Sus scrofa: one gene and its partner. The protein of the gene in region 1 purifies or fractionates together with the protein of each later gene. This does not show direct contact. Links are inferred from orthologs where the notes say so. Each region holds a gene or a part of one and is shown on either strand. Other genes may lie near its edges.

Region 1 (11,548 bases):
GCTTGTCTTGGGTACTGTGAACATTTTGACGACATGAATTCTTCCGTGGCATAAGCCCAGGATATTTTCCATTTCTGTGTGCCTTCTTGAATTTTTCATCAATGACAGCATTTTCAGAGTACAAGTCTTTCACCTCCATAGTTAAATTTATTCCTAGGTATCTTACTCTTTTTTGACACAGTTGTAGACAGGATTTTTTTAACTTTTCCCTCTGATAGTCTGTTGTCAAGTATATAGAAATGCAACGATTTTTGTATATCATTTTGTACCCTGCTACTTAACTGAATTCATTTATTCTAACAGTTTGTTGGTGGCATCTTTAAAGTTTTCTATGTAAAATTATGTCATCCATAAATGGAGACAGTTTTACTTCTTCCTTTCTGATGTAGGTACATTTTACTTCTTTTTCTGGCCTAATTGCTCTGACAAAGACTTCCAACACCACACTGAATAAAAGTGGGGAGAGTGGACACCCCCGTCATCGTATTTCTGATCTGAGGGGAAAAGCATGGAGTATGATATTTTCTCTGAGTTTGAATACATGGTCTTGGTTACGCTGAGGGACCGTCCCTCTACCCACTTTGCATAAAACCAGAAGAAAAGAGAGGCGGTAAACTACTTGACATGGATCTTGGCAATAAAGTTTTGGATCTGAATCCAAAAGCAGAGGCAACAAAAGCAAAAATGAACAAACAGAACTACACCAAACTTACTTCTGCAAGTTAAGGAAACAATTAACAAAATGAAAGACAAGCTACTGAATGGGAGAAAATGTTTGTAAATCATTTATCTGATAGGAGGTTAATATCAAAATTCTATAAAGAATTCATAAAACTCAATAGAAAATTAAAAAATTCTGATTTTTGAAAATGAACAGATGATCTGAATAGGTATTTTTCCAAAGACATATGGATGGCCAACAGACACATGAAAAGATGCTCATTATCACTAATCATCAGGTAAATGCAAATCAAAACCACAATGAGACATTACCTTACACACAGCAGAATGGCTATCATCAGAAAGACAGAAATAACACGTGCTGGTGAGGATGTGGAGGAAAGGCAACCCTGACGCACTCTTGGAGGGGAGGTAAGTTGGTGTTACCACTGTGGAAAAGTAGGAGCGTTTAGTTCCTCAAAAAATTAAAAACAGAACTACGATATGATCCAGCTATTTCACATCTGGGTATTTATCTGCAGGAAATTAAAGCACTAATGCAAAAAGATAAATGCATCCCCATATTCACTGCAGCATTATCTATAATACCCAAGATAAGGAAGCAACCTGAGTATACATTGGTAAATACACAGATAAAGGATATATATATTATATATACTATAAATATATTTATACACATGTAAATGGACTATCACTCCACCATAAAATGGAATGAAGTCTTGCCATTTGCGACAACATGGATTAACCGTAAGGGAATTATGCTAAGTGAAACATGTCAACGAGAGACAAAGGCTGTGTGAGTCTACTTACATATGAAATCTAAAAAAAACAATAAAAACCAAAATGACAGTCACAGATACAGAGAAGCCCATGGGGTCTGCCGGAGCAGGGGGAGATGGAGAGAGGATAAAATGGGTGCAGGGTCAAGAGGCACAAGCTCCCAATTTCAAGAGAAATGAGCCGGGGAGATGCAATGTGCGTCACACTGACCCTGGTCAGTAACACCGCAGAGCTGACTCCAAAGCTGCCAAGAGAGCAAACCCTGAGAGCTAACCATGATGCGTGGTGACGAACAGTAACTAGACGTAAGATGATCATTTCACCACCTATGCACACACATACTCAATCACTACGTTGCGCACCTGAAACCCATATAATGTTCCATGTCAATTATACCTCAACATACATTTTTTTTAAAAGATGAAAGGAATCTTGTCTCAGCCAAGACTGGGATAAGATTTTCCTAAGGCATCCAGATATTCATGTGAGAGCACTCCTTCGCTCACAGACTCTTACTCCTTTTCAGACATTTGTTTGGTAAATCAAGATTTTTTTTTTTTCTGTTTGCCAGGCAGGAAAAAACAAATGGTGTCTAAAGCGATGGACAGAATATGTAATTAGAGGGAGTTCCTGTCGTGGCACAGTGGTTAATGAATCCGACTAGGAACCATGAGGTTGAGGGTTCGATCCCTGGCCTTGCTCAGTGGGTTAAGGATCCGGCATTGCCATGAGCTGTGGTGTAGGTTGCAGACGCGGCTCGGATCCCGAGTTGCTGTGGCTGTGGTGCAGGCCGGCGTCTACAGCTCCGACTCGATCCCTAGCCTGGGAACCTCCACATGCTGCAGGAGCGGCCCTAGAAAAGACCAAAAAAAAAAAAAAAAAAAGTATGTAATTAGACACTATCGATCACCATAATAGAGCCTGCTTTGTCATGTCAGATGCAGGTGTCTTTGGTCTACAAAGAACTTTCCAGTTCAACTAAAGCTGTGCCCAAAACGCTGTGCTCGTCACAGTCTTCTGCGGGGGAATGAAGACGTGATGGTGGGCAGTGAAAACATGTGAGGCCAGGAAGCGAGCTAGACTCCCTCTTCTCTGCTGCCTCCAACCAGGCACTTCTGGCTCCTGCACTTTAGTCCCTCACTTGCAAACTGGAGGAGCAGGAGGAATAAAGTAAAGGGTCTAGTAAATTCTCTGCTGCTCCAACTATCTCTAAGCCTACAACTCTAAAAGAAGGTCGGGAAAAGACTCGGTGATGCGGGGAAGACAAAGGGGAACAGAATGAGAAGGGAAGGTACTGTCCCTTTGGCGGGGCTGGTGGGGCAAAGGTCTGGAATGGTGCTGATGTAAGCCAAGCCGTCTTCCCTTCTAGAGTTAGAGTTTGTGGCTTTTTTCAAAGGTGTTTCCCAAAATATTCAAAGTTAAATTTTTAATGACTTATGTGTATGCCTAAATGATCCATGAGGTTTGTTCTAAAAGGACTCTCTTTTTTCTTTTTTGGTTATAAGAGAGTTAAACAATATGCTTATTTATTGCACAGCATCACAAATAGGACAGAAGCTTTAAATGGCTCAGTTCTACAATTCCAGAGAAGACATGTATTTAAAGAAATGTTGCATAACAAACAAGGCCTCTTCCTAAAATGCATCCTGCCAGAGCCAATTTTGGAAAACACAAATATGGGACGGGTGTATTTTGAAAATTATGTGAGCATAATAGATCCTTAATTAATATCTGTGGCTTTTATGGGAAATATTTGTGTTTTAAGGCATTTGTCATGCAAAAACAATTTCTGCTAGTGAAGGAAGTTAAACAGGGCATGTGGTTTTGCTTCTGAGTTCTGGAGTAAATGCCCAAGTCCTTTTGTCCTAAAGTACTTCAGTGTCCACTAGTGAACACTAACAACATATTCTGGACTATTCAGTAATTTATATCAATCTCATTTATAACCCTACTTGAGTGAAGTTTTTACTTGCAAAAGCACTATCTCATTTATCATTACATCATTTGGTTCTCATTTAGCTCAAAAGAAGCAACTTTATTGCACATTTAGACATAGAGGAAATTAGGCTCCAGATTTTGGATTTGCCTAAGGAATGTGAGCTAGAAAGAAACTGGAATGCAGTATTCCAATTCCAGTTGTAATCCTTCTCTACCCTCCACTCTGTTCTGCACATGGTAAAGCAGTACATTGAAAGGATTAAAAAAGAGATTTTAGAATCAGGGAGAACTGGGTTCAGCTCCTGCCTGGCATTGCCAGGCTGTGCCTGTGGGCAAGCTATTCTCCTCTTCCAGCCCCCTTTGTGAATTAAATTAAAAATAACTATCCGCCCCACCCACCCCAGCACACACACCACCAGGCGACTGTGGGAAGGATGAAATGGAATAATGCATGAAAAGCACATAGCAGAATGTTTCATAAATGTTAGCCATTGTTAAGTTATTATGTAATCTAGAAAATATGTTTGGTTACACTGAGTGAAACACTTTCAGTTCTTCAAAGACACTACTAATACATGTAAAAATCAAACCCTGAAAATTAATTTCTTTTTAACAGTGAAGTCACATGCCAGATGCAAAGGCTAATATTTCATGGAAAATGACCTCGTCTGAAGCTTGGTCTGACTTTTTTAAGAAAAAATACCTTTTCCTTTCTGTGGTTTCAAACCTTTTTTTTTTTTTTTTTTTTTTTTTTTTTTTGTCATTTTGCCATTTCTTGGGCTGCACCTGCGGCATATGGAGGTTCCCAGGTTAGGGGTCTAATCGGAGCTGTAGCTGCCAGCCTACACCAGAGCCACAGCAACGCTGGATCTGAGCCACATCTGCGACCCACACCACAGCTCATGGCAACACCGGATCGTTAACCCACTGAGCAAGGCCAGGGATGGAACCCGCGACCTCATGGTTCCTAGTCGGATTCGTTAACCACTGCGCCACGACGGGAACGCCTCAAAACATTTTTAATGTTACACATTCTTAGTAATGTGAACCATAATAAATTGCCATGTTTTAGAAGCAGAGATTATAGAATAGCAGCAATTTCATATGGCTCGGATCACCAAACTACCCAGCAGATGATTTTTCTAGTTGCCCAGGCATGAATGAAGTAGAGCTTCAAAGAAAAATTATTCTATTTTCAGTACATTTTCACTTGAACAGATAATGAAGGAGTGATGCCACACTCACTAGAATTAAAATTAAAGCATACAACTTTCTCTTTCTGTCCCCAAACACACGCATGGATAGCCCAGGTCTGAATGAAATCCCAAGCGTAAAAGCCTGTCTCAGTGCCTGCAGATTCCCAAGGAGAGCACCGAAAGTCCTTGACAGCGAGCGAGCTGAGGAAATGGGCAGCTGCTGAAGTCACCTCCTGAGGTCTCGCCAAATGTTTGAAAGGGAATATGCGAAATGTCCGCATGCTGGGGAGGAAAGGACGGAGATCCAGGGTGCCGGAGAAGGGTTTGTAGAACATGGGTGGGGACGTCCTTGGCTGTGACTCCCGGCTTGCCTCCACGTGGCCCTTAGTGTGTTGTTTACTTCTTTTCGTGTGTGCCTATGACTTTGTGGTTCTGGGTGCTGCTGGGTTTGTTCCTGACCACGTCTCTGCGTTAGTTAAGGTTGACTTTGCGCCGATTTGCTTGTGTGTGTGTGTGTGTCCGTGCGCGCACGCGCGTGTGCTTGTCGGTGTGCTGGATGGGTGTGTCTGCGTGTCGGTGGCTGTGGCTCCGTCTAAGTCCGTGCACGTCTGCCAGGTGAATTGTGCCTGTCCGTGCGTGTCCTGGCGGGCACTCTCATTCTCGTCTATTTCCGAATAGGAGGGAGTGCCTGCGCACTACCCTCTGCCCAGGGTCCTCAGGCCTCACGACAAGCCCGGGCAGGCAGGTAGCAGCCACAGAAGACTGCGCAGCTCCCAGCTCGCTGGTAAGCGGCACCCCCCAACTTCAGCTTCAGCCCTGGGGCCAGCCTGGGTAGCCTGGAGGGAGTGGCGACCGGCCGGCAGGGAGCAGCGGGGCCCCGCCCGGGCCAGCCCCAGGAGGAGGCGGGAGAGGGAGGGAAGGGGCGGGGGGGGGGGGGGGGGCCTCGCCCCTTTGGGGCTTCCCGCGCGCCATTGGTCCCAAGTTGGAGCACGTCACGGGGAGGGCAGTTCCCCTCAAGTCCTGTGCACATAACGGGCAGCGCGCACTCCGAGGCGGCTTCTCCGGAGCGCAGGCAGAGACCCGCCGGCACTGCGAGCCTCGAGCACCCCGGGAGCTGAGTGCACCACGCGCCCCCTCCACACCCACCCCACGGCCGCTGAATGAGGCTTCTAGGCGCCCGCTCGCTGCCCGCAGCCCCCCGCCGGAGGTCGGCCCGCTGAGGCGCGGCGGGTGCGCCGGCTGCCAGCGCGCTCACCTGCCCGCCTGCGCGCCATGGGGCAGCCCGGGAACCGCAGCGTCTTCTTGCTGGCGCCCAACGGAAGCCATGCGCCGGACCAGGACGTCCCACAGGAGCGGAACGAGGCATGGGTGGTGGGCATGGCCATCGTCATGTCGCTCATTGTCCTGGCCATCGTGTTTGGAAACGTGCTGGTCATCACAGCCATCGCCAAGTTCGAGCGTCTCCAGACGGTCACCAACTACTTCATCACCTCCCTGGCCTGTGCTGACTTGGTCATGGGCCTGGCGGTGGTGCCCTTTGGGGCCAGCCACATCCTCATGAAAATGTGGACTTTCGGCAGTTTCTGGTGCGAGTTTTGGATTTCCATTGACGTGCTGTGCGTCACGGCCAGCATTGAGACCCTGTGCGTGATCGCCGTGGATCGCTACCTTGCCATCACGTCCCCCTTCAAGTACCAGTGCCTGCTGACCAAGAACAAGGCCCGGGTGGTCATTCTGATGGTGTGGGTCGTGTCGGGCCTTATCTCCTTCTTACCCATTAAGATGCACTGGTACCAGGCCACCCACCGGGAAGCCTTAAACTGCTATGCAGAGGAGGCCTGCTGCGACTTCTTCACCAACCAGCCTTACGCCATCGCCTCTTCCATCGTGTCCTTCTACCTGCCCCTGGTAGTCATGGTCTTCGTCTACTCCAGGGTCTTTCAAGTAGCCAGAAGGCAGCTCCAGAAGATCGACAAGTCTGAGGGCCGCTTCCACGCCCAGAACCTCAGCCAAGCGGAGCAGGATGGGCGGAGCGGGCCGGGACATCGGAGGTCCTCCAAGTTCTGCTTGAAGGAACACAAAGCCCTCAAGACGCTAGGGATCATCATGGGGACGTTCACCCTGTGCTGGCTGCCCTTCTTCATCGTCAACATTGTGCACGGGATCCATGACAACCTCATCCCCAAGGAAGTTTACATCCTGCTAAACTGGGTGGGCTACGTCAACTCGGCGTTCAACCCCCTCATCTACTGCCGGAGTCCAGATTTCAGGATGGCCTTCCAGGAGCTTCTGTGCCTGCACAGGTCTTCCCTGAAGGCCTATGGGAACGGCTGCTCCAGCAACAGCAACGGTAGGACTGACTACACAGGGGAACAGAGTGGCTGTTACCTGGGGGAGGAGAAAGACAGCGAACGGCTGTGTGAGGAGCCCCCAGGCCCGGAAGGCTGTGCACACCGGCAAGGTACTGTGCCCGATGATAGCACTGATTCACAGGGGAGGAACTGTAGTACAAATGACTCCATGCTGTGATGCAGGTGTCTACTTTCTAAGCGCCCCTTTCCCTCCCAGCCAAACACTAAACAACTCGAGTGTGATGAATTTAGAATGAACGTCTATAGAGATGTGCAGGAGGAGGAACATCCTTCTGCCTTTTTATTTTTTATTTTTTTAAGTTGTAAAAAAGAGAAAACATTATTTGAGTGATTGTTTCTTGTACAGTTCAGTTCCTCTTTGCATGGAACTTGTGTAAGTTTATGTCTGCAGGCCTTCGGTCCCAGAGGACGTGGGGCTGGTATGTTTTGATGACTTTTCCGCATATCTACCTCATTGATCAAGTATTAGGGGTAATATATTGCTGCTGGCAATTTGTTTCTGAAGGAGACCTTCCTTCCTGCACCCTTGGACTGGAGGATCTTGAGTCTCTCGGACCTTTCAGCTGTGAACATGGACTCTCTCCACCCCTCTTATTTGCTCAAACGGGGTGTTGTAGGCAGGGATTTGAGGGGCAGCTTTGGTTGTTTTCCTGAGCAAAGTCTAAAGTTTACAGTAAATAAATTGTTTGACCATGACTTCATTGCACCTGTTTCTCCAAAACCCCTTGACTGGAGTGTGGTTCCTCCCCCACTGGAAACCGCAGGTAACTATTTATAATAAGTGCCCAGTGACTTAATGTGGAATGACACAGGAATGACATGCACTGATTGCTTAACCCTTTTGTTTGCCTTTGAATCTGCGGCTGCAAACCTGTCTCTCTCCTACTGCTGATGTCCCCCTAGCAGTCTGTCCGCTCCCAGCGTAGTTCATCTCGCTCTTCCTATGCAGTGTTCTGTGTCGTTACATCAGAAACACTGACTCATAGGAACAGAGTTATGTCCCTCTGTGTGCCCTCACCACCCACCTTTCAGTTCTGCTGGTTTCTGCTTGTTTTTATCTTTACCGTGTCTTAGGGTAGAGATCTTTGTAGTACACCAGGGCTTGGCATTTTAAGGATAAGGAAGTTCTTGTGAAAATACTCAAAGCCTGGTAACTCCAAGGGAAATAAAAAGGCCATGGGATGTAGGGGGAAAGCTGGAGAACACTTAACTGGTGAACAGCTCATGACCGAGAAACAGGGTTGAACCCTCCTTCTCTGTCCTGCTGTGCGTCCTGTCCCCCCTTCCCCGACTCTAGTCTCCAGTATAAATCCAGATTTATCAACCTCACAAGATTAACATTTTCAGCTAATAATTCTAATAATTCTCCAATGTTGAGGGCTGTCCTATACATCGCCAGGTGTCCAGCAGCATCCCTGGCCTCTTCCCACTAGACGCCAGGAACACCTCCTGAGTTGTGAAAACCAAAAATGTCTGCAGACATTTCCTAATACCCCTCCCTTAAGGAATGAAATTTCCCCTGGTTGAGAACCTCAGTTTTAAACTTCAAAAATCTAAACAGATTTTTAGATTCTGCCTAATGTAACCACTTTATTTTGCAGGGCGTCAGAGAGGGATTTTTTTCGCCATTAACCCAGACCCCAGGGCAATGTTCTTCCCCTCCTTCCAAGCCTACTCCCCTGCTGCCCAGACACGGACGGGGAGACTGAGCTGCTGGGGAGGGTTTATCCATGAAGGCAAGGCCCATGAGCCGCGACTGCCTGTTTGTGGAGAGACGATCATACTGTCAAGAGGCAGTAAGGGAAAATCACAAAAGTAAACACATTTCTTCTCCCACCCCTTTCTATTTTTGCCTGGGTGTCTGAGCCAGCGCTTGGCCCAGGTTTGACCGAGTAGATCGTCCTCCTTGGCAACGCCAGCCTGGAGAGATCAACCTGCAGGTTCACTGCCACTTCACACTCTCATGAAGCTGACTCCACTTCTTTCTTCCCTTCCCTTCCCTTCCCACCCAAGGTCTCCGACCAGAAAAGCATGTGTCTTCTCTACTTCCTCTCAGTGCAGTGATGGGGTGTCTGGATGAGTACTGAGCTCTCAGGAGAAAGTTGGGAGCCTGTTTTTCTAGAATATGCCTCCACACATTGGAGAGTGTGCCGTTCAGCACTTCTGCTTTTTCTCCAAGGGCTTTCATACCCATTATCACATGCTTCCCCTGCTCTGGGCCCTACACTCAGAGATGCAGGCAACTTCTCCAGCTAATCTTCACACTCCTCATAGGCTCAGGGGATCTCAGACTTGGAAGAGAAAGCACAGAAAGCATCTGACATCCAAAGAGAAGGGGGAAGATCAGCCCAAGGTAAGAAGCCAAGGATGTCAGAGTCAGGGCTAATGCCAGGCAACCCAGCTGTCGTGCCCAGAATTGGTGTATTCTCTCTACCACATTATCATGGGATTCTGCCCTCACTCTCAATCGCGGAAGCTTTTCCTTGGGACTGGCACATTAACCAATTCATTTCTGCAGATGTTAACATTTCTTTCAGGTCCGTAATACAAAACACAGGCAATAAACAAATAATGTGCAGTAGGGACAAGAGAATCATTCCTTTTTCTCAGCATTTAGGGAAACTGGGAGATTCCTTAACTCTTTATGACCTGCCAGAAATTTCAAGCCATTCCAGGTAGAAATTTACCATAGGCTTATTTTAAAAAAAGGTTGGAAACCTTACCATCATCATGTCTAACTCCCATGGACAATAATACATACATACTCTTTTGGTTAGAGGATTATCTAATGTAGTTTTAATTAAAAACTCAGCTATGACGTTACTTCATAAACTTCCAGCTAAAAGGGAGTTTTAGCCTAATTCATGTCTGTTTGGGAATACTTTAAATACAAGAACTCTGATCAGTTTTAAGGGTTTTGACAATCAGGAGCCTTTAAGGCCTATCTCAGTTGCTTGCTTTCCATCTCCTTTCATCCCGTTTTGTTTCTTTTGGGGAGTGGGCATTTGCCAGCATCTGTCCCTGTTTACTGACAGGTTGGTTACGTAAGGTGTGTGTTGGATGCATCATCATAAAGTTGTCTTTGCCTGGACAGCAAGTTCTTGGAGTCTGTCAAGTGAGAACTTTATCCTGAGATGCAAGCTGACAGATGTGCAAAGTGGCAGAACAGGGTGGGCCTCCTCACTGAGATCATTACTGGCAGAAGGGTCCTGGGGGAAAGGGAGCTGGGAAGTAGGACCTGTCGTTAAATGATGCTTAGAATGTTTCTGATGCACCTCCTACCAAGAGAAGCTTGACCAGAATCCGCCAGGAGTTATTTACAACTACTGTGTGCAGCAGGAGAAAAATACCGGTTTCAATCTCTGATTTCTGGAGCATAATACTAGTAATACTACACAGATACCGTCTATGAAATATTACTAAACGTTCAGCATTGTAACAGGCAGCTTTTAGGCATGATGTAACCTTGACAGTCTTAGGAAGTAGGTAGCAAAACCGTCCTCATCTAACAAATGAGGGGAAAGGTTAAGTCCCTTGCCAAAGCCACACAACCAGCTAGCTGCAGCGTTTAGACTGGAACCCAGGTCCATGTGATTCCTTGCACACATGCAAACAGGAAGTGGCATGATGCAGTTCACCATACATGCAGGAACACATGTCAGAACTGGAAATGCAATACCTTGCTGAGAGAAGAGGGAGATGGCTGTGGGTCGGGGACAGAGGAATGTTCCCCGGGAAGCATGTGACTGCAGGGTGCGCTGGGGACTGAGACAGGAAGCCAGTTGCTGAAGTGCCTGGTGTGCTTCTCTGAGTCTTTGCTTTGTCTTTTCATCAGAGAATCAGGCCAAATTGAAAAGAGGATGTGAAACAGTAAAACAAGCACAGGAGAAAGCAGAAATACAGCCCGCCTCGTGCCCTGGCAGATTCACTGTCTGGTTCCAAAAGTGGAAGATTTCCTCCATCGAGCAGGTAGCTGACCTTATGGAACACTGGGCAGGACAAGCTGGCCCTATAATGTGCTGTCCATTTCGAGCGAGCACTGTAGGGCAGGGGACACGACCTTCTGCCAGCAGAGAGCAGGGAGGGTCAACACACTGTGAAAGATGCTTTCCGTTGACAGAACAACCGTCACTAAATTCAGCGCTGTGCTAATCCCTACTTGACGGACAGTGCAAATATAATTGGAAGGAGGAATTTTTGAAATACCTCAGAGAACAAACTTCCCAACCACTTTCAAGAACTTGAGAAACTCTTATGTCCTATGAATACGAGGAGGCAGGGTAAGGTGACAAGAGGCCTGGACTGGGACTTCTGCAGCTAGACTGCAGGTCTCAACTGGGCCTCTCCTCGCTCTGTGTTTCTCTCTCTGTCTCTCTCTCAAGTTGGGTCAAGTAGTTTTCCCGTTTTCCTCAGGGGACCTCAATTTGCTCATTGGTAGAATACGAAGACTCATGCAGGTGGTCTCTAAGCTCTGCCTCGCTCTGAGTTTACATAGCCATTAACTAAGAGGCTAACTAGAGACAGCAATTTATGTTTCTAATTTGAGTTGATGACATTTGCCACATAAATAATGGTTTAATG
Region 2 (10,805 bases), on another chromosome or scaffold:
AGCAGAAACAAATCCATCTAGGATCCATGAGGATACAGGTTCAATCCCTGGCCTCTCTGAGTGGGTCGGGGATCCAGTGTTGCCATGAGCTGTGGTGTAGGTTGCAGACGTGGCTCAGATCTGGCATTGCTGTGGCTGTGGAGTAGGCCGGCGACTGCAGCTCCGATTTGACCCCTAGCCTGGGAACTTCCATATGCCAAGGGTGTAGCCCTACAAAGATAAAAACAAACAAAAAGAAACAAAAAAAGTCTACAAATAAGAAATGCTGGAGAGGGTGTAGAAAAAGGGAACCCTCCTACACTGTTGGTGGGAATGTAAGTTGGTACAGCTACTATGGAAAACAGTATGGAGGGAGTTTCCTTAAAAAGTCACCATATGATCCTACAATTCTACTCTTAGGAGAAACTGTAATTTGAAAAGATACATGCACTCCAGTGTTCATTGCAGTGCCCACTGTTCATTGCAGCACTACTTACAGTAGCTAAGACATGAAAACAACCTAAAATGTCCAACAGATGAATGAATAAAGAAAAGGTGGTGTGTGTGTGTGTGTGTGTGTGTGTGTGTGTGTGTGTACATACTCCCACAATGGAATGTTACCCATAAAAAAGAATGAAATATGCTGTTTACAGCAACATGGATTGACCTAGAGAGTTTCATACTAAGTGAAATCAGCAGACAGAGAAAGACAAATATACGATACTGCTTATATGTATAATCAAAAAAAAAGATACAAATGAACTTATATACAAAACATATATACCCACGGACATAGAAAACAAATTTATGGTTACCAAAGGGGAAAGGAGGGAGAAGGGATAAATTAGGAGTTTGGGATTAACATATACAGACTACTATATATAAAATAGATAACCATTAGATAACCAACAAGGAACTGCTGTATAGTACAGGGAACTATACTCAATATTTCCTGATAACCTGTATGGAAAAATAATCTGTTTCAGTTAAAAAAAGGCCCACGAGTTCCCTTGTGGCCTAGCAGTTAAAGATTCGGCATTGTCATTGCTGTGGTATGGTTCGATCCCCAGCCTAGGCATTTTCACATGCTGCAGGCACAGCCATAAAAGAAAAAGCCTCATTGAGGAGTTCCCTTCGTGGCTCAGTGGTTAACGAATCCGACTAGGACCATGAAGTTGCAGGTTCAATCCCTGGCTGGCTCAGTGGGTTAAGGATCTGGCATAGGCCAGCAGCAACAGCTCCGATTAGACCCCTAGCCTGGGACCCTCCATATGCCACGGGTGTGGCCCTGGAAAAGAAAAAAAAAGAAAAGCCTCATTGAAAAGGTGATATTTAAGCAAAGAGTTGAAGGAGATGAGGGAGATGCTCAGAGGTGTCTGTAAAAAGATGGATAGCCATGCAACAGTTTTGAGAGACAGGAGTATATCTCTTTGATTCTAGGATAACAAGTGAATAAATGAGGGGGAAAGTATTAGAATATGATGTCCAATCTTGGGGCCAGATCGTGGAGGTAATTCTGGGCTGTTAACAAACTCTAAACTTTGTTAACTTTGTTAAGTTAACAAACTACTATTGTACCAAGGGATCTTGGTACAATAGTAGAGTTTGGATTAGATTTGATTATGGGAGAGAAATGATTGGAACTTAGTTGCCTTTGTCTGTAGGTAGTATGTACCGTGGGCATTTTAATTACCCATCATGGCATTGTTTCAGGAGTCTCACTTTCTTTTCACAGTATTACAATTAGATAATTTTCAGATACTCTTTTTTTGTTTTTTTTTTTGCTTTTTTTAGGACTGCACCTGAGGCATATGGAAGTTCTCAGTCTAGGGGTTGAATCATAGCTGTAGCTGCTGGCCTATGTCACAGCCACAGCAACGTGTGATGCTAGCCGTGTCTGCGACCTACACCACAGCTCATGGCAATGCTGGATCCTTAACCCACTGAGCGAGGCCAGGAATTGAACCTATATCCTCATGGTTCCTAGTTGGGTTTGTTAACCACTGAGCCACAAAGGAAACTCCCTTCACATACTCTTCATTTTCCTCAGGCTCCATTACTGTTTCTCTCTATATATACATATATCAATTTTTTAATCAATTTGGTTCCTTTAGTTGAAAGTAGTAGAAGTCAGATTGACTAATTTAAACAAAAAAGGAAATTTATTGAAAAGAAAAATTGAATAACCAAACTTTCACAAGTTCAGGAACCATGAGTATTCCAGTATAGCCAACAAATTGACATTGGAATTACTCCATTCCAATCATTAGTTTACTCCTCTGAAGATTTCCATTTCTAGTAGTTAGCCTAGATTAAGTCACATACCCATTCTTTGGGCCTTATGACTAGAGGAGAGAATGGAACATCCTCAAAGACTATCCCACTGGAGTTCCTTTGCGGCACAGCGGGTTAAGGATCCAGTGGGTTGTTGCTGCTATGGCACAGGTTCAATCTCTGGCCCAGGAATTTTCACATACCATGGGCACAGCCAAAAGAATAAAAAAAAAAAAAAGGACTGTCCCACTGCTTTTGAGAATTTATTCTATATATGTCTATTATCTGTGAAATGATATGTACAAGATTATTCATTGCAACATTATAATAGCAACATGGCCACCAATATCTTAAGTGAATAGAAGTAAGATGTAGACAGTGGGTATAGTATATTTAAATAAGAATTATACATCAGATTTTTAATAAATGTGTGCAGTATTTATTGTTGTGAAGACTTTACCCTGACCGTTTTCATTTATCTAATATTTTATGCCCCTTTTGTGTGTACTAAATTTTAAGTTATAACTTAGAATTGTTTAATAGGTGTTACCCTGTATCCTAGTATCAACATAACTTAGCATCAATGTACATCTGTTGTGTTCTTTGTGAGGAATTGGCCTTACCAGATGCGGAAGTATAGAATGGTTGTATTGTTTTACTACAAAGCAAATTCTAGACTTTAGATAACTGATTTTCCCCCCTATAGCTCAACAGAGCATTCCAAGAGGAGGACTCGCCAGCTACTTTTTATTGCATCAGTATGCAGTGGTTTAGAGAATGGGAAAGTTTTGTGAAGGGTAAAGATGGAGGTAAGTATTTAAAAGAATTTTTTTTTTGCAGATTTTTTGTTTATTTGACAAATGTTTCTTGAATATCTCTGTGCACTTGCGATTATACTAATGAGCAAGAGAGAAAAAGGTTCCTGCCCTCAAGGATTGTACATTCTGGTTTATCTGTTTTGGTTATTTTTATTTTTTATTTGTTTATGTATTTACTTTTTTTTTGGCCATGAATGTGGCATGTGGAAGTTCCCAAGACAGGGATACAACCTGTACCACAGCAGCACCTTGAGCCATAGCAGTGACTATACCAGATCCTAAACCTGCTGAGTCACCAAGGAACTCCCTATTTTTAATTTTTTTTTAACTTTTTCATGAGTTACGGCATATCCATGGCAGGAATAAAATAACTGAATAAAATTAATCTGCAACCTTAACATTGAAAAAAATTTTAAAAAATCCTCCCAACAATAAGATTGGTTAGGAGTTCCCTGATGGCTCAGCAGGTTCATGATCTGGCATTGTCACTGCTGTGGTGCAGATTCCATCCTTGGTCCCGGAACTTCCCTGTGCTGTGGGTACAGCAAAAAATAAAATGAAGCATGCTTTTAAAAAATTAATGAGATTGGCTAAATTATTTTATCTGTTAAAATGGGATACTATGTGGGCTTTAAAAATAATTTGTGTAACTGTTTAATTTAAAAATAAGATGTTCTTTTTTTTTTTTTTGTCTTCTTGGGGCCGCACCTGTAGCATATGGAGGTTCCCAGGCTAGGGGTCGAATCAGAGCTGTAGCAGCTGGCCTATGCCAAAGTCACAGCAACGTCAGATCCCAGCCACATCTGCAACCTATACCACTCTTAGGGCAACGCCAGATCCTTAACCCACTGAGCAAGGCCAGGAATTGAACTTGTGTCCTCATGAATGCTAGTCAGGATCGTTTCCTCTGAGCCATGATGGAAACTCCTATTCTTGATTTATGAAAAGATTGTAATGCAGTATGTGTAGTTTGAACACTTTATATTAAAACAGAAAAAAGGCAACTGTATGCAAAGGCAGAAAGACCACAAAGATGATTAAAACAATTTGCTTATCTTTCTGTACTGAGATGATAGTATTTTTTTTCTTTCTTGTGCCTTTTTTTCCCCCAGTTTTTGATAATGAACATTCACTGTACTTTCAAAGGAAAGACAAATAAAGCTTTTTTCCTTATATTAAAAAAAAGATGGGAGTTCCCGTCGTGGCACAGTGGTTAAGGAATCTCACTAGGAACCATGAGGTTGCGGGTTCGGTCCCTGCCCTTGCTCAGTGGGTTAACGATCCGGCGTTGCCGTGAGCTGTGGTGTAGGTCCCAGACGCGGCTCGGAGCCCACGTTGCTGTGGCTGTGGCGTAGGCCGGTGGCTACAGCTCTGATTAGACCCCTAGCCTGGGAACCTCCATATGCCACGGGAGCGGCCCAAGAAAAGGCAAAAAGACAAAAAAAAAAAAAAAAGATGCATTTTAACATTTCATTTTACAATGCTTTTTATTGTTTTTAGTTTAATGACATTCTAAACTAATTGAAGAGTTGCATAATTTCTTTTTAAATTACAAAGGAATTATTCTTATTTAGCATAAAAAGTGCCTTTTAACCTGTAATCCCCAATGGACAGTTAAGAAATCATTTCTTTTTTGTGTGTGTGTGTGTGTGTGTGTGTCTTTTTGTCTTTTGTTGTTGTTGTTGCTATTTCTTGGGCCGCTCCCGCGGCATATGGAGGTTCCCAGGCTAGGGGTTGAATCGGAGCTGTAGCCGCCGGCCTACACCAGGGCCACAGCAACGCGGGATCCAAGCTGCGTCTGCAACCTACACCACAGCTCACGGCAACGCCGGATCGTTAACCCACTGAGCAAGGGCAGGGACCGAACCCGCAGCCTCATGGTTCCTAGTCGGATTCGTTAACCACTGCGCCACGACGGGAACTCCAAGAAATCATTTCTGTTACATTTTGGATGGTGAGTGAGAGGACTTCTCTCACCTTCTTTCCTGGTTCTGTTTTGGCAGAACTAAGACCCAAAAAGGAAGAAACTCAGAAGAATATGTTCAAGGGAATTCCTGCATAGCCCAGCAGGTTAAGACTAGTATCCATGAGAATGCAGGTTCGATGCCTGGCCTTGCTTAGTGAGTTAAGGATCTGGTGTTACTGTGGCTGTGGTGTAGGCCATCAGCTGCAGCTCTTCTTATTCGACTCCTAGCAGGAACTTCTATATGCTGCAGGTGGGGCCCTAAAAAATAAAAAAGCAATAAAAGAAGAATACAGTTAACTGACTATAAAAATCTAACTAAGGACTTTCCTGGTGGCCTAGTGGGTAAGAATCTGATATTGCTGCTGTGGCACGGCTTCCATCCCTGGACCAGGAACTTCTGCATGCTGTGGGCATGGCAAAAATGATAATACTCTGACTAAAAATAATCTGATTATACAGTTACATCTTTCAGTTATTTCAGGCACAGTTCTTGGTGCATTTCTTTAAAAAGTATACATTTTGATTATTTGTTTTTCCTTTTGACTTAGATCCTCCAGGTCCTATTGATAACACTAAAATTGCAATCACCAAATGTGGCAATGTCACACTTAGGCAAGGTAAGTTTGACTAATACTTAAGCCTTTATTTGTTAGTGATTTGTCACTGTCAAGAATATATCATGACTAGCCTCCTCTGCCACTTTTTTTACCCAGTTCAGTGATGTAATTCATATATGAAGTAGGATAGTGGAAAAATTGTCAGTGTTTAATTTTTATCTGAAGAAAGGTTTTAAGGCTGTTTATAGGGGCAAGGGAAAAGGATCTCCAACTTTTTTTTTTTTTTTTTTTTTGTCTTTTGTCTTTTTTAGGGCCGCTCCCATGGCATATAGGAGGTTCCTAGGCTAGGGGTTGAATCCGAGCTATAGCCACTGGCCTACGCCAGAGCCACAGCAGTGTGGGATCTGAGCCGCGTCTGCGACCTACACCACAGCTCATGGCATCGCTGGATCCTTAACCCACTGAGCGAGGCCAGGGATTGAACCCGCCACCTCATGGTTACTAGTCTACCTCATGGTTACTAGTCGGGCTCGTTAACCACTGAGCCATAACAGGAACTCCCAAGGATCTCTGACTTTTTAAGGCAGACCATAGTGTTGCAACTTGTGACAGTATGAGCTGGTAGTGTGAAGATTCATGTTCTCAAAGTTCTCAGTTACTATACTGGTACAAGATTTGTGCTGGGGGTACATTGTGAAGGTTTTTCCAATATGAATATGTAAGTTTGTAAATACTATTCTTTCTACATATATTTAATTTTAGGGGCAGATTCTGGTCAGATTTCTGAAGAAACGTGGAATTTTCTACAGTCTATATATGGTGGAGGGCCTGAAGTCATCCTGCGGCCTCCTGTTGTTCATGTTGATCCTGATGTCCTACAAGCAGAAGAAAAAATTGAAGTAGAAACTCGGTCTTTGTAATTTTGAGGGTATAGAGGTCTGATGAGAAATCATTCTCACATCTTCTGACATATAGTCATGCAAAAACATTCCTAAAAGCATGTTTATTTTCTTGATTTTTAATATTTTATCTTTTATTCCTTCTTACTGGGCATTTTGAAAGAATGTGTTCAAATGTATAGTATTCTACAGGTTGGTATATTTAATGGTAGATAACTTTCCGTAAAGTCTTTTGGTGTAATATTTTTGAAAGAGAAGGGGTAATTGTGATCATTTGGTAATGAGTTGGTTATCTTTGATATTTATACTACATATAAACCCATGAATCCTTTGTAGCTTTGTAAATACTTTTGCTTTGAAAACTTTTTCATTATCCTAAATGATCATAACTCTGACCAATCTTTTCAGTTCTTCAAAAACTTGATTTAATTGTATAGTTTTGACATGGCTTCTTATAATATAAAGAGCCTATTTTAAATTGAGAGTTGTAGTCAGAAAAATGTTAATTTCCTAAAGCTCAGGAAACTGTTAGGGTGTCAACTTCTTTTGCACTGCAGCATATAAACTAGCATATTAATATTTACAAGATGTCTTTTTGAATGTATCAAGGATGTATTTAGTTTGAGTGGAATTTGTGTCAGCAGATATTAGTAATTTATTGCCTCCTATACTGTAAAATATTAAATTTCAATTCCTATAACCCTGATTAGTAATCTTAATATCAGTAAAAAACTTAGAGTTAGTTTTAGGACACTTTGTTTTGAGAGCATGAAGTATAGACTGTCAATGAGATTGTTGATAAAGCTGAAGTCTAAGCCTCTTGCAAATGATTTTTTAAATGAAACCTGCATAAAGTCTTTTTGAATAATATAGTATGCACTGCTATTTGCTTGATTATGTGATGTCAAAAGTTTAACTATATTCCAAGTACAAAACTAAACTGGATTACTTTGAGAATGTTGAATAGCATTCACAGTGGCTTTGTTTTGGTTTGGGGCAGCTGCCACCAGCTAAAACAGCATTATTAAAATTAGTTCAATAAAAATGATTTAAAAATGTGTAATTTGGATGTTGTATTTATTTGATAGATATTGAGTGAAGGGTATAAAGTTTGTTAATATTAATATTGTCTTATTATTTCTTTTTTTTTTTTTCCTTTTTATAGCCACACGTGCAGCATATGGAAGTTCCCAGGCTAGGGATCAAAACAGAGCTTCAGCTGCCGACTTACACCACAGCTATAGCAACACCAGATCCTTGACCTACTGAGTGAGGCCGGGGATCACACCCACATCTTCATGGATACAAATTGGGTTCTTAACCTGCTGAGCCACAACAGGAATACCTTGTCTTACTATTTCTTAATCAGGAGTTCCAGTCGTGGCGCAGTGGTTAACGAATCCGACTAGGAACCATGAGGTTGCGGGTTCGGTCCCTGCCCTTGCTCAGTGGGTTAAGGATCCGGCGTTGCCGTGAGCTGTGGTGTAGGTTGCAGACGTGGCTCGGATCCCGAGTTGCTGTGGCTCTGGCGTAGGCCAGTGGCTACAGCTCCGATTTGACCCCTAGCCTGGGAACCTCCATATGCCGCGGGAGCGGCCCAAAGAAATAGCAAAAAGACAAAAAAAAAAAAACTATTTCTTAATCAGAAGGTATGCAAAATAAGCCACTTTGGTATGTAATGAAATGACGTGATCAGCCTTTAGAATCTATTGGAATTTTTTTTTTTTTAAATGTAGTTTTTAGTTTTCTTCTTTCCCCTGGTTATGCTATGATCCTCTTCAAGGACTAAAGGATGTTGCTGATCTGTCTTGAATCACCAGAGTTTAGTGCAATGCCTGGCATTTAGGAGATAATTTTAAAAGATTTGTATTTAATAGTGCTTACCATTTATTAAATATATATGTTCTCTCAGACACTCTGCTAAAGTGCTTCACTTATATTCAATCCTCATTATAACCCTATAACTTAGGTCAGGTGGTTTGCCCAAAGTCGTACAGCAAAAAAGGAGCAGATATGGGACTCCAACTAATGTCATTGTGAATGGATATCAGTGTTCTTATTCACCATGATATATTATCTCCCACTGAATTATTTTAAAACAGATTATAGTATTAGCCACATTCATTAAAAGCATCCTTCACTGGGATATATAATATGACAAAGAATACTGGCTTCTGAAAGTGTGTATGATTTTTTTACATCATAATCATCAAAATACATAACAAGGAGTTCCCGTCGTGGCGCAGTGGTTAACAAATCCGACTAGGAACCATGAGGTTGCGGGTTCGGTCCCTGCCTTGCTCAGTGGGTTAACGATCCGGCGTTGCCATGAGCTGTGGTGTAGGTTGCAGACGCGGCTCGGATCCCGCGTTGCTATGGCCCTGGCATAGGCCGGCGGCTACAGCTCCGATTAGACCCCTAGCCTGGGAACCTCCATATGCTGCGGGAGCGGCCTAAGAAAGGCAAAAAGACAACAAGACAAAAAAAAAAAAAAAAAACAATATAATAAGTAAAGAGTTAGTAGTCCCACAGAATCTCAGCTAAAAGTTGACATATGTGTTAACAGATATCGAATGAAAGATTTGGTTTCTCAGGATGATTTTCTTGGCAATAACTTAGCTGAGAAATAGGACAATTGCAGTTAAGGGGTAGATCCTGTGTATGTTGAGAGTACTACATTGATTTACAACATGAAGGTGATAAGGTTTGGACTCAGGAATCAATTTGCTTATATTCAAATCCTAGTAGCTGTATCACCTTACAGCTATGATTTGCAATGGCAATGAAAGTTCTCTGATCTCCAGTTTTTTTCATCTCTTAGAATGTTTCAGGTTGGGTTTTCCAGGAAGCAGATGCTGAGACGGAATTAGGAGTGCAGTTGATTTCTTGGGGAGTGACATCAGTAAAAGGAAATGGAAGGAAGCAGGATTGAACAAAACAAGTTATCAGATCATAATGCTGACCTGACAAAGTCTCTGTCAGCCCCGTGGAGCGAGCCAGAGCTAAGATCATCTGTTGGAGAAGACCTGTATTGGGCAGAAAAGACTAGGCTGACTAGTGTACCTGGAAAAAAGTGACTTCAGATTGACATTGGTGGGACTAACAGCAAGCACTCTCCTTCCTTCTGGATAGCGAGTGTTTTGTTTTTGTTTTTGTTTTGTCTAAGGGCCGTACCCATGGCCTATGGAGGTTCCCAGGCTAGGGTTGAATCAGAGCTGTAGCCGCTGGCCTACACCACAGCTCACAAAACGCTGGATCCTTTAACCCACTGAGCGAGGCCAGGAGTTGAGTCTGTGTTCTCATGGATGCTAGTCAGGTCTGTCAACCGCTCAGCCATGACAGGAACTCCCAGGAGTGCTTTCTTAAAGAGTGTACATGTCTGCCATACTTGATCATAGGATTATGATAATTATGTGATTACCACATTTATCATCCTTAACATAATTGATGTAATTCTTATAATTCTCTTATTCTCTTTCTTCATGTCTCAATGTGTATCTTTTAAGGACACATCTATGTAAGTAAGGAAGCTGCCAAAAATATTTAATCTGAATCAAATCATGGAGCAAGAGGGGAGATCAAGATAATTGTTTTAAAAAGGCACATTATAGGAGTTCCCATTGTGGCTCAGCAGGTTAAGAACTCAACTAGGATCCATAAGGATGTAGGTTCAATCCCTGGCCTCTCAGTGGGTTAAAGGATCTGGCATTGCCATGAGCTGTGGTGTAGGCCACAGATGCAGCTCAGATCTGCTGTGGCTGTGGCTGTGGCTGGCAACTATAGTAGCTCAATTCAACCCCTAGATTGGGAATTTCTGTATGCCGCAGGCGTGGCATTAAAAAAAAAAAAAAAGTGCATTATACAAAGCAGTTTTCCTGGTTTCTTCAAACAGTGTTATGGAAAAAAAAAGACATGAAGATTGAGAGAATATTACAACAAAATGTAATGTGTGATAACTTGATTGGATCTTGGATTGGAGGAAATAATTTATAAGGAGTGCTATTGGGACAGTTAGGGAAATTTGACTAGGGAGTTTATATTAGATAATAGTATTATATCAGTATTAAGTTTCTTGAGTGTGGATAACTACTGTATTGTGAGAGAATGACCTTGATAGGAAGTACATGGTAAAGTTTTTAGGGTTGAAGTCATGCTGTGTGAAATAAACATGTGAGAGAGAAAGCAAGGAAGAGTACAAGTGTGGCCAGTGTTAATCACTGGTGAATCAAACCCAAATCACAAGGTATCCCCTCACACCAGTCAGAGTGGCCATCACCAAAAAGACCATGATAACAAATATTGTTGAGGATGT

The links.
Region 2: the proteins of ADRB2 (region 1) and USP33 purify together in Homo sapiens (affinity purification with western blotting; 3 studies listed by BioGRID and IntAct, with this or other methods). This does not show direct contact. The link is inferred for Sus scrofa from reciprocal best matches to the Homo sapiens genes ADRB2 and USP33.

Annotation. Positions count from the first base shown.
Region 1 is NC_010444.4:150,027,929-150,039,476, forward strand, and holds ADRB2 (beta-2 adrenergic receptor), read left to right. Parts: upstream 1-4,720; 5' UTR 4,721-5,379; intron 5,380-5,634; 5' UTR 5,635-5,867; coding exon 5,868-7,124; 3' UTR 7,125-7,663; downstream 7,664-11,548. UniProt on the Homo sapiens protein: Beta-adrenergic receptors mediate the catecholamine-induced activation of adenylate cyclase through the action of G proteins. The beta-2-adrenergic receptor binds epinephrine with an approximately 30-fold greater affinity than it does norepinephrine.
Region 2 is NC_010448.4:135,582,187-135,592,991, forward strand, and holds the end of USP33 (ubiquitin carboxyl-terminal hydrolase 33), read left to right. Parts: intron 1-2,959; coding exon 2,960-3,062; intron 3,063-5,585; coding exon 5,586-5,654; intron 5,655-6,356; coding exon 6,357-6,514; 3' UTR 6,515-7,556; downstream 7,557-10,805. UniProt on the Homo sapiens protein: Deubiquitinating enzyme involved in various processes such as centrosome duplication, cellular migration and beta-2 adrenergic receptor/ADRB2 recycling.